2 linked regions of the Kluyveromyces lactis genome follow. The protein of the gene in region 2 purifies or fractionates together with the protein of the main gene of each other region. This does not show direct contact. Links are inferred from orthologs where the notes say so. Each region holds a gene or a part of one and is shown on either strand. Other genes may lie near its edges.

What was found. The genes of interacting proteins can lie anywhere in the genome.
Region 1: the proteins of ATG11 (region 2) and ATG29 purify together in Saccharomyces cerevisiae (affinity purification with western blotting; 4 studies listed by BioGRID, with this or other methods). This does not show direct contact. The link is inferred for Kluyveromyces lactis from reciprocal best matches to the Saccharomyces cerevisiae genes ATG11 and ATG29.

What each region holds. Positions count from the first base shown.
Region 1 is NC_006039.1:855,693-860,258, reverse strand, and holds ATG29 (Atg29p), read right to left. Parts: upstream 1,855-4,566; coding exon 1,390-1,854; downstream 1-1,389. Other genes in the region: SET6 (Set6p), read left to right, coding at 298-1,401; REV3 (DNA-directed DNA polymerase), read left to right, coding at 2,296-4,566. UniProt on the Saccharomyces cerevisiae protein: Plays a role in autophagy. Functions at the preautophagosomal structure (PAS) in order to form normal autophagosomes under starvation conditions. Also plays a role in mitophagy and regulation of filamentous growth.
Region 2 is NC_006038.1:1,057,610-1,063,381, reverse strand, and holds ATG11 (autophagy protein ATG11), read right to left. Parts: upstream 4,525-5,772; coding exon 1,384-4,524; downstream 1-1,383. Other genes in the region: TAH18 (NAPDH-dependent diflavin reductase), read left to right, coding at 1-1,382; peptide alpha-N-acetyltransferase MAK3, read left to right, coding at 4,989-5,525; POL30 (proliferating cell nuclear antigen), read right to left, coding at 5,612-5,772. UniProt on the Saccharomyces cerevisiae protein: Involved in cytoplasm to vacuole transport (Cvt), pexophagy, mitophagy and nucleophagy. Recruits mitochondria for their selective degradation via autophagy (mitophagy) during starvation, through its interaction with ATG32.

The DNA.
Region 1 (4,566 bases), on a different chromosome or scaffold from region 2:
TTTTGCTGTGGTCAAAGATCTAATTTTGACACGATAGTGGAAAGACTACCACGCGAACTGATGTTTACAGTTCACGTGACTCTTAAAATCTACTGATCTAGTTGAAGATATAATTTCAAAAGGAATTTGGAGCGTTGATTTCAGGCGATGAGATGCAATGAGATGGGCTGCTTGGCAAAATATGATGTTAACTGGTCAGAGGTATCTACACTTAAAATCCTCTGAATTATATATTACGAACTAGAATTCATGGATATATGCCAATTGTGAGGGAGTTAGATATAATACAGGACACGGATGAATGCGGAAGTATATATTAATGACAAAATTGAAGTAAAACGTACAGCATATGGCGGCCGGGCATGTTTTGCTTCAAATAGCATGTTAAAAGGCACCCATCTGTTAGATTTGTCCCAGTGGATCGGATCTAGTATTTCTCACGAGTTCCGTAAGGAAGTGTGCCATTTTTGCCTGAAATATGACGGTGGTAAACCAATGAAAGTTAGGATCAGCTGGGCAGACCTACTGAAATTAGATTTGAACTTGTTAAACCATAAACTAGAGAAGAAGTACAAAGGTAGCGGGCTTTGGTTTTGTACTGAAGAGTGTAAAAACTTCTTCCTAAGTGGACCGAATATTGTTGATCTTATTTTGAATTATGAAATGATATTAACGCATTTCCAATCGATACAGGGTAAAAGCCTGTGCGTGGAAACAGATACGGAATTGTATAAAGACTACGATAATAAGCGGATGCATCAGGAAATTGAGAGTTGTTGGATGGACTTAGAAAGTACTTGGATGCCTAGAGTTTCCAAAATGAAACTTGCCAAGGCCACCAACCAACTTCCAGTGATAGATGAGGATCATTATTCCTGTATCAGGTTTGTGATAGAATGTTTATTTAACATGACACATTTGGATCGAAATAGTGTGAAGTGGAATACGTGGGAAAAACTTCAGTCAAATGAAGTGGAGAAAATAATGAGATTCCCTGTTCTACTGGAGTTTCAGATCAAAGTTTTCAAATGGGTTTATACTCTAGCTCCCCAGTATAGGTATATCATGACAACATCAGTTTTTAGACATATCCTTGGTTCTGAATATGGAAACTCATTTGGCATTTGGGAGACTTCAGAGTCGGACGATGATAGGGAATATCTGGGTTATATGGTTCATCCGGAGGCCTCATATTTTAACCATTCCTGTGTGCCTAACGTGGAGAAAAAGAGGGTCGAAAGAGTCTTTCAATACATTCTACAAACTGATGTGCAGAAGGGAGAAGAGCTCTGTATTGATTACAAGGGTATATTACACCTTGACGTCAACCGGAGAAGGGCAATATTGAAGGATAATTGGTTTTTTGAATGCAAATGTAGTAGATGCCTCTCAGAGTTGTAAACAATCCATCAATGCGTCCTCAAGTGCTGACTTGCTCACACTTAAATTCGAAAGTTCACTACTAGACTCTTGATTATTGGCTAAGTTGTCCGTCTTATCCAATTTATGATTCATTATTCTTGATGCCTGTAAATTTTGGAGAATGTTGTTGTCAACGGAATTTCGTGACTCTGATGAGGACCGGGTATTAGATGTAACGTCTATTTGGTTCGATAAAACTTTTAGTTGATTTTGAAATAAAGTATAACTCCGTTTTTTGAGAAAGGGTTCTGGTGCACCTAAATCAGCCCCCAATTCCTGCCAATCCATATCCTCTAACGAGTCAATTTTTGAGATTTTGGTCCATAGAATCTTATCTCGACGAGAATCCCAAATAAATGGTTTTGTTTCGACAAAATTTTCAGGTCGTTTACCTGCCACTCTTACGTACACTTTTGTGTTGTCATTATTCATTGTAAATACACCTCACACTGTGGATTTTATAGAATCACCAAATTTCTTCCTATACCACAGAATCTAGATTAGAACAATTTAAAGTAACATTTGCTATTAAATTCGATTAGGAACTTGCGGTGAATGTTGTTCAACTAGATCTCACTTTCATCTCGGACAACTCCAGTATACGAGAATCACTTTAGCTAAAATATGATTATTCATTACGTATCAGAATGATCACAATATCCGGGTAATCATGAATACTAATATACCCAACTATAATCAAGTTTAGCCCAACTTTGCAGGATTGCTCATCGCTATTTCTCATCTGAAGTTTGGTCACAGTATATCACCCATTAATCAAGGATATTACTTTTATACCATTCACATCGTTTACATCAGAAGATATAACTGTGCTACATTAAGGTGACTGTAATCTGATATGATGATTACTTGCAGATGAGTGATATTTTTGGTTCTTTAGACTCCAGCTTAGACTCCAATGAAATCAACATACAGATTAATAATTCAGACAGCTATCAATGCTTCCCAACTCTATTGGATTGTAAAACTAGTAAGAGCCTTCCTGGACTTCGATTTGTTCAGGTGCCAGTACTAAGGTTCTATGGATGTTTATCTACCGGACACAAAGTTCTAATTCATTGCCATGGCATTTTCCCTTACATATTCATCAAATATGACGGACATTCGAATGATAAAGCATCAGTAATACGGAATAGATGTACCAGTTTGCACAAAATACTTGAGACACGGATGATTGAAACTTTTACCAAAACAGATTTTAAAGAGAAGCTAACTTCCCTGAAATACATTGCTAATGTGTCCGTTGTCAAAGGCGTTCCATTTTACGGATACCACGTAGGATATGAACCTTACTATAAAATTACTCTTTTGAATGGTTCATATAGTAATAAACTCTCTGAATTACTTAGAGATGGCAGAATATTCACCTCAAAAGTGGATGTCTTTGAGGCTCATATACCTTATTTATTGCAAATGATGGCTGACTATAACTTATTTGGTTGCGGATGGTTAAAACTATCCAAATGCTATTTTCGGCAACCTGTTCTGTTAACTGATCTAGATATGAATGAAATATTGCACACGGACTCTTTGGAACGTTTTTTGAAAAAACACTTGCATCCGAATCAAAATGTTTTAGACATAGATCCATTTCATCGAATTGGAAAGACCTTTCTTGAAATGGATATTATTCCACAGTTCATTTTAAACAGAGAAGAAATTCAATTCAGGGATTTACACCATGATTTTGTTGAGCTTAAGAAAGACCTTCAAACATCAGATCAAGGATATGTTAATTCTACAAAAGATATATGGAAAGAGATACAACTGCTTAGGAAAAGGAAAGGGCTTGCTGAATATGAAGGATTAAAAGAAATATTTCGAGAATCTCAATTACAATATAATTGGAAAGAAGATGAAAGGTTGGTGAAACACTTTGATGAAGCTAAGAAACGAATGTCTTCCCTTTTTAACAAAGAAAAAGCTTTAAATTTTGACAACTTTGTGGATCCTTTCATTAATGAGAATTTTTTTGCAAGTACCAAAGACGCCCTTCAAGAATTATGGCCCAAAATACCAAGGAATGCTAGTAGTAAAGTATTCTGTTGGTCAGAAGTAGAATTCAAATTGAACAACCAATATACTTCTGTTCGTGAACAAAAAGTAGCGTCTACAAACACTAAAAATATTCCCATTTTGCTAAATATTTCCTCCAATGAATCGCACTCTTCACATGTCAGTTCCAAACGTGCGGAGGAATCTTCATGTCATGACGATATTGCTAATGAAGCAATTGCTAGGAAACTGGCAAAACGAAAAACATCTGCTATTAGAAAGTCAACATTTCGCCCGATGATCAGACCTAGCGTAACACACGCTAACATCAAGGAGAGTTTATCTGCTAACCAAATTGAAGAAGTTCAGTATAACGATCCATTTTTCTCCAATCCACTTGATTGTAAAAGGCTACAAACGGAAATGGCTGGTCGAGTGTTCAAGCTATCAAGTGATCATATCCTCTTTAAAAGAAGCATCCGTAGTAACGATACAACAGCAACATTAACTTCTTCAGGAAGTGTATATGCAAGAAGCAGATGGAAATATATAAGACCAAAGCCGTCTTTTAAAAGAATAGCCAATGCGATGAAGCCTTTCAAAGGTAAATTCTCGATGGTGGAGGGGAAAACACCAGAACTACCATTCGGATACAAGTTCAAGAGCAATAAAATAGAAAAAAATAATAACGCTTCTAATAGAATGACCCATTTCACCATGGAAATTCACGTCAATACTCGTGAAGATAAGTTTCCAGATCCTAAATATGATGCTGTCAGGATGATATTTTGGAAAGTGCAAGATGGAACTTTTCCATTCGACCTGGATATTACTCAAGAAGGTGTTTTGATATTTCTAGACGATGTCTCGACAGAAAATTCATGGAAAACTGCCGATCCTAGTGTTCATATAACTGCTTATTACGATGAATTGGAAATGATATATGCATTAGAAGATTTAGTGAGGTTTTTCGATCCTGATATCTTGTCAGGATACGAAATACACTCTTCCTCGTGGGGCTACTTGATTGATAGATGTCACAAGGGACATGATTATGATGTGGAAGATGAACTCTCTCGAGTCGATTATAACCAGAGTAGCAAAAAAAAAGACAGATGGGGTTACACTCAC
Region 2 (5,772 bases):
AAAGAATCATCGCCTACATGTTAGAGAAGTACCCCAACAGAAAGCACGATGGCAAAATGATGCCCAGAGTAGGCCTAGCCGAAGATGTTTACTTGAAACCGAGCAATATATTAGAAATATCCACTGTTAATGGATCGACAAATGATCAGCTACCTGATTCTAAGATTCAATTTGTTGGAGATGAGACAATAAGACATGGAACCGTTAAGAAAAACAACCAAATAACTGCTAAAGATCATTTTCAGGACGTTCGACAATTTGTGTTTGAAACCGAGGATCATGAAGCCTATCATCCAGGCGATACAGTTTCTTTATATCCCGAAAATTCAGACAATGACGTTGAATTATTCCTCGAAGCTCAACCTCATTGGAAGAAGGTCGCTGATGAACTTCTTACAATAACAGACCTGGAAAATTGTGATCGGTTCAGAGATGGTGGTGTTGTGAAACCACTTACTCTAAGAACCTTGTTAAAATATCATTTTGATATCGTCAGTATACCTAGGCAGAGCTTCTTCATGAAAACTTGGACTTTTGCAAATGCTCACGAAGATAGACCAACCGATCAAGAGCTATTAGAACAACAGAGGGATAAACTAAGACAGTTCGGGTATGGACAAGACCTACAGGACTTGTATGATTATTGCAATAGACCAAGAAGATCAGTATTAGAGGTTATACAGGATTTTGAATTCTTAAAACTTCCATGGGAGTTCGCATTAGATTATCTACCCATGATAAAGCCCAGATTTTATTCCATCTCAAGTGCACCATCTGATCCTAATGTTGAACTAACTATTGCTATTGTTCGTTATAAGACTTTGTTAAGAAAGGTACGGAAAGGACTATGCACGAACTACCTACTTACATTAACCGAAAACGATACAGTTCGTTATAAACTTCAAAATAATCATTTACTTCATGAAGATATTATTGGCAAACCTATCATCATGACTTCTCCGGGGGTAGGTCTCGCACCAATGAAGTGCTTGATCGAGTCTAATTTATTCAAGGATCAGTACTTATTTTTTGGTAACAGAATGAAGGATAAGGACTTTTTATATGAAGATACGTTATCTATGTGGAAGAAAGAAGGTAAAATTAATTTATTCACTTGTTTTTCGCGGGATCCCATAAATTCTCCTCATGCTAAGTATGTTCAAGATCAGTTGTGGAATCAATCTAGTCTAATAGCAGACCTAATTTTGAAAAAATCTGCCATAGTATATATTTGTGGATCCTCCGGTAAAATGCCAGTTCAGGTTAGGTTGACTATAGTTGAGATCCTGAAAAAACATGGAAACTTCGAAAACGCAGAAGAAGCCGAGCATTATCTAAAAGAAATGGAAAGAACTGACAGGTATATGCAAGAGACATGGTAGTTCAGTCAAGATTGAAAAAAGCGTCAACTTCATACCACACGGTATTTCTTGGAAACTTAAAGGGGTTCTTTGAATCATCTCCAACCACATGCTTTTCCAAGGCCGAGATTCTACCCATTGCCCATTCCCTATCTTTCAATAATTCGTAATTAGACGTTGAGTTTCTAAGAACGTATTTGATATCAGTATTTGTCGCAGTGAAAATTGCCCATACAACATGCTTCTTGGCCGAATCTTGGGTGTTAACATTGAATGTATCCGGTCTGCCATTAGCGTTGAGTGCAGGATTCCTGTTCGCTTTACTTAATGGAATATTTTCTGTGATAGAAGCAGAGCTTCCGTTAAGAATGCTAGCTGCAATATCAGACTTGACAACATTTGGACGTTGCATAACAGACTGTGTAGATGAGTTTAAATCAATGGATGAAAATGAAGAATTTAGCGACGATATTGAAGAATTTAATAGCAATTCCTGATCGTTGATTGGTAAAAAAAGAGCAAGATCTCCCGGTTGGAAGTTATATATTGTAATTTTGTCTCTAGCACTTTTCTGCAAAAGGAGTTTTTTATTCTTGTTCTCTTTCCTAAGCTTTTTCGCCAAACTTTCGATATCATTGAACCTGCGGATCACTGACGTTTCGAACAATTGGTTACCAAATAGTTTTTCTATGTAGGTAATGAAATTTTCATGAGGTTTGTAGTCAATCTGATCCTTTATAGATTCGAAAGTACTCTTTATTTCTTGTGCAATTACACTTTTTGCCATGGAACTATTCATATCAGCCAAACTTGAATCCAGATCTTTTCTTAAACCTTTGACGCGAACAATTTGAAAGTTTCCATCTTGATCTTTGGAAAGTAACAACCCGATACTCGCCAAAATGAAAATACTACCTTGGAAAACATCATATAAAGTTTTTTCCAATTGCTTATTAAAGTTGATAAACTCTGCATCAATTGTTTTGCTTTTTGATATTTGCAATTGGTTAAGATCTTTTTTAAGACTTTCAACTTCTTCTTGCAAGGAAGCCCGTTCCTGTTCTGCTTGAACTTCTTGGGTTGCCATATTGACAAGAAGATCTTCTTTCATTTTGTTTAAATCCTCGGATTTCCGTCGGGATTCTTCAGATTCCCTTACAAGTTCCTCATTTTGCTCAAAGAGGGATCCTAAATGCTTCTTGAAATTCTCCGAACGAGAATTCATTTCAGAATAGAAGTTTTCGCGTTCAATCAACAACGTTGATAATTCTTTGTTTAAATTTGTCATGGATTCTCTGTAAGCATTTTTCTCGACCTCCATATGGGAAAGTTGACTTTTAAGTGTTGAAAGTTCAGTTTCAAGGGTCTTGGTTAATTCAGAGTATTTGCTTATATCCTTTTGCAGGTTTTGAAATTCCTCGAAGGTTTTATTTGATTCGTGTTGTTGTTTGGAACTTGGGAGATCGAATGTTGAACTTTGCTGTAACTTTGTGCTCACGGTACTATTGCGGAACATTTGGACCATTGCAGTTTCCTTATTCAGAATGCCAGCTGGCCATGAGTCGTACTGATGGAACTGTGCATCAAGTAATAAATGTTCTAGCTTTTTGATACGAGCCTTGTATCCTTCAATGATAAGCTCCGAGTCCTTCGAGAGCGCGTAATCTGTAGGTAAATGCAAGCCTGTCAGCTCCGCCTGCGAGACTTTTGACTTAAGTAAATTAATTGTAGGTTCACCTAAGTTCAATGAAGCAAGTTGATTAATATAATCTTTAATCTGAGACAATGTCACCTGTTTATGATCACTTATGGACGGAATGTATACTGATGATGGTAGCAAACTATCAACATCTAGAAATCGAGTTATCCATTGGAAATCTTTGTACCAAGAGTTTCTTTGTCGTACTTCGTCATCCAAAAGATGCTGCAATGAAGATTCATGTTGTTGTCGAAGTTGAGAGTAACGGTCTGTCCAGAGCTGCTCTCTGTATAACTCAATCAAATACAATCCATAACACATAGGCAAATCCAATACTTGAGATAATTTCAGTTCTTCATTCTTCAAAAACTTCATATTGGTCTTAACGTCTTTAGTTAACACCGACTTCACCATTATTACGCTCATCTGCGATTTTGCAACGGAAAGGTACAACTGTTGCAACTTCTGCTGGACAGTAGCTTTTGTATCTAAATTCGTGGAAGCTTTATTGAACATTGCTTGCGAAATTGTTTGTAATTTGGGGACATGTACACTTTTGAATGTTTCAAACTTCTCTTTTGAAGCATCTTTAGAAGCCTCTTCTTTATATTGATTTGATACAAGCTCAATCTCTGTAGCCATTTCTTTAAATCGTTCAACCATTTGGTTGTCCATATCATCAGAACTGACAACTGAATTTTTTTTCACATCATCTAAATCTGAGATTAACTGTGTTCTCTGCTGGTAGCATTCATCAATACTTTTCTTTAACTCCTTTAACTTCGCATTTAGTTCACGATCCAGACGGTGAATGGAATCCTCGATCTCTGTTAGCTCGCTATAATTGAAAAATGATGATAATAACTGATTAGAAACTTTAATATTGCCGAGAATATTATCATAAAAGGAATGCCATTGATTTGAGGCACCATCTTCGTGAAGCTTGTTAAGAAAATCAACGTTGCCATTATACAGCACCTCCACTTCATAGCAGTAGTTTTTCAAATACTCAAGCATAACAGTACCACACTCTAATAACCGTTGAACGTCTTGATAAGTTTCTTTTATAACGTCCTGGAAAAATTCAACGTCTGATTGCAAAGCCTTCAACCACCCTAAATTCCGTAGAATGACATTTTTATCCAACTGTAACGAATCGCTTATCGGCGATGGCAAAGGTTTGAAAAGTTGGAACCTTGGCTTTGGGGAAAACTCGATCTCCTCATTGAATATTCCACGGTCAAATACGTATATTTCTTCCAATCCTTCTTGTTGCAGCTTTCTGGAATCCCATCCTGCTTTCTTCAATATCATTCCATAAGGTAACAATAGAAGTATGTCATCGAGCGGTATCTGGAAAGTATCACTTGCAAACTGTTTCAAATCTAAGAAACTAGGGAAATAAACATTAGATAATTGGTGTGAAACTCCTGATGTAGCACATATCAACTTGCATGGCGGCATTATTAATAAAATTATCAGATTGTAACCTTAAGACTTTGGAAAGAAATAAAGGGACAATGTCGATTTAATGATGATGAAATGGGGGGTGTTAGCTCACAGGATTCTATATCATGAGTATTCTTTAAATGCTGAGATATATCTAATCTGGAGTACTAAAGCCGTAAGCAACAAGTGGAATAAGAGCCGATAAACGTCAGGGGACTGAAAAACTATGTAACAGGTTTTCTCACCTATAAAACTTACCGGGGGGTCCATATAATCTTTTTTCGAATCAGTTTGGTGAAGCAAGAGCACGTGACTGATATGCTTTTATTATAAAAATTTGGTTTTAAACCTCCAGATGATGAGATAAACAGTTTTAAGTAAAGCTTTTTATATTCGCTAGCTTCGGCAGCATCTACTCTCATTGATATAACTAATTAAAAATTAATAAGAAAGTATACTGCAGATAAACTAAGCAAAGGATGGTCGAAATAAGGTACACACGATTCGATATCAGTAATGACATGGAGTTTTCCACCATCAAGAAATTGATCGATGAGGATCTCAGTGAGCCATATTCGATATACGTGTACAGATTTTTCCTAAACCAATGGCCGAACCTAACGTATTTGGCATGGGCAGAAGGATCGGGTAAGCCCATAGGATGTATAGTATGCAAGAGCGATACTCATAATGGAGTGCGGTTAAGAGGATACATTGGCATGTTAGCAGTGGAGAAACAATATAGAGGCCGTGGGATAGCGAAAAAACTAATTACCTTAGCTATAGATACTATGATTGATGAAAAATGTGACGAGATTATGTTGGAGACTGAATGCAGCAATGCAGCTGCTTTGCATTTATACGAGAATATGGGCTTCATCAGAATGAAGAGATTATTCCGGTATTATTTGAACCAGGGAGATGCGTTTAAACTCATTTTACCGATTACAGAGAAAAGTTGTGTGAGAAGCACATTCCTGGGGATGGATTCCTTTCCTACCGACACCATACTCTAAAGTAAATTGAATTGATTTTATATCAGTAATTGTCATTTTAATACACACACAATATATATATATATATAGCATTGCGAAAAGAGATTTCATTCCTCTTCATCGAACTTTGGAGCCAAATAGAATTGCAAATTACCGCTTGAGATATCGAATTGGAAAAGGGCTGGCGCTTCTTCCGATAATTTTATAGTGATTGTATCTGATAGAGAGGACCCCTTAATGATGTCGTTTAAATATTTAGCACCGAACC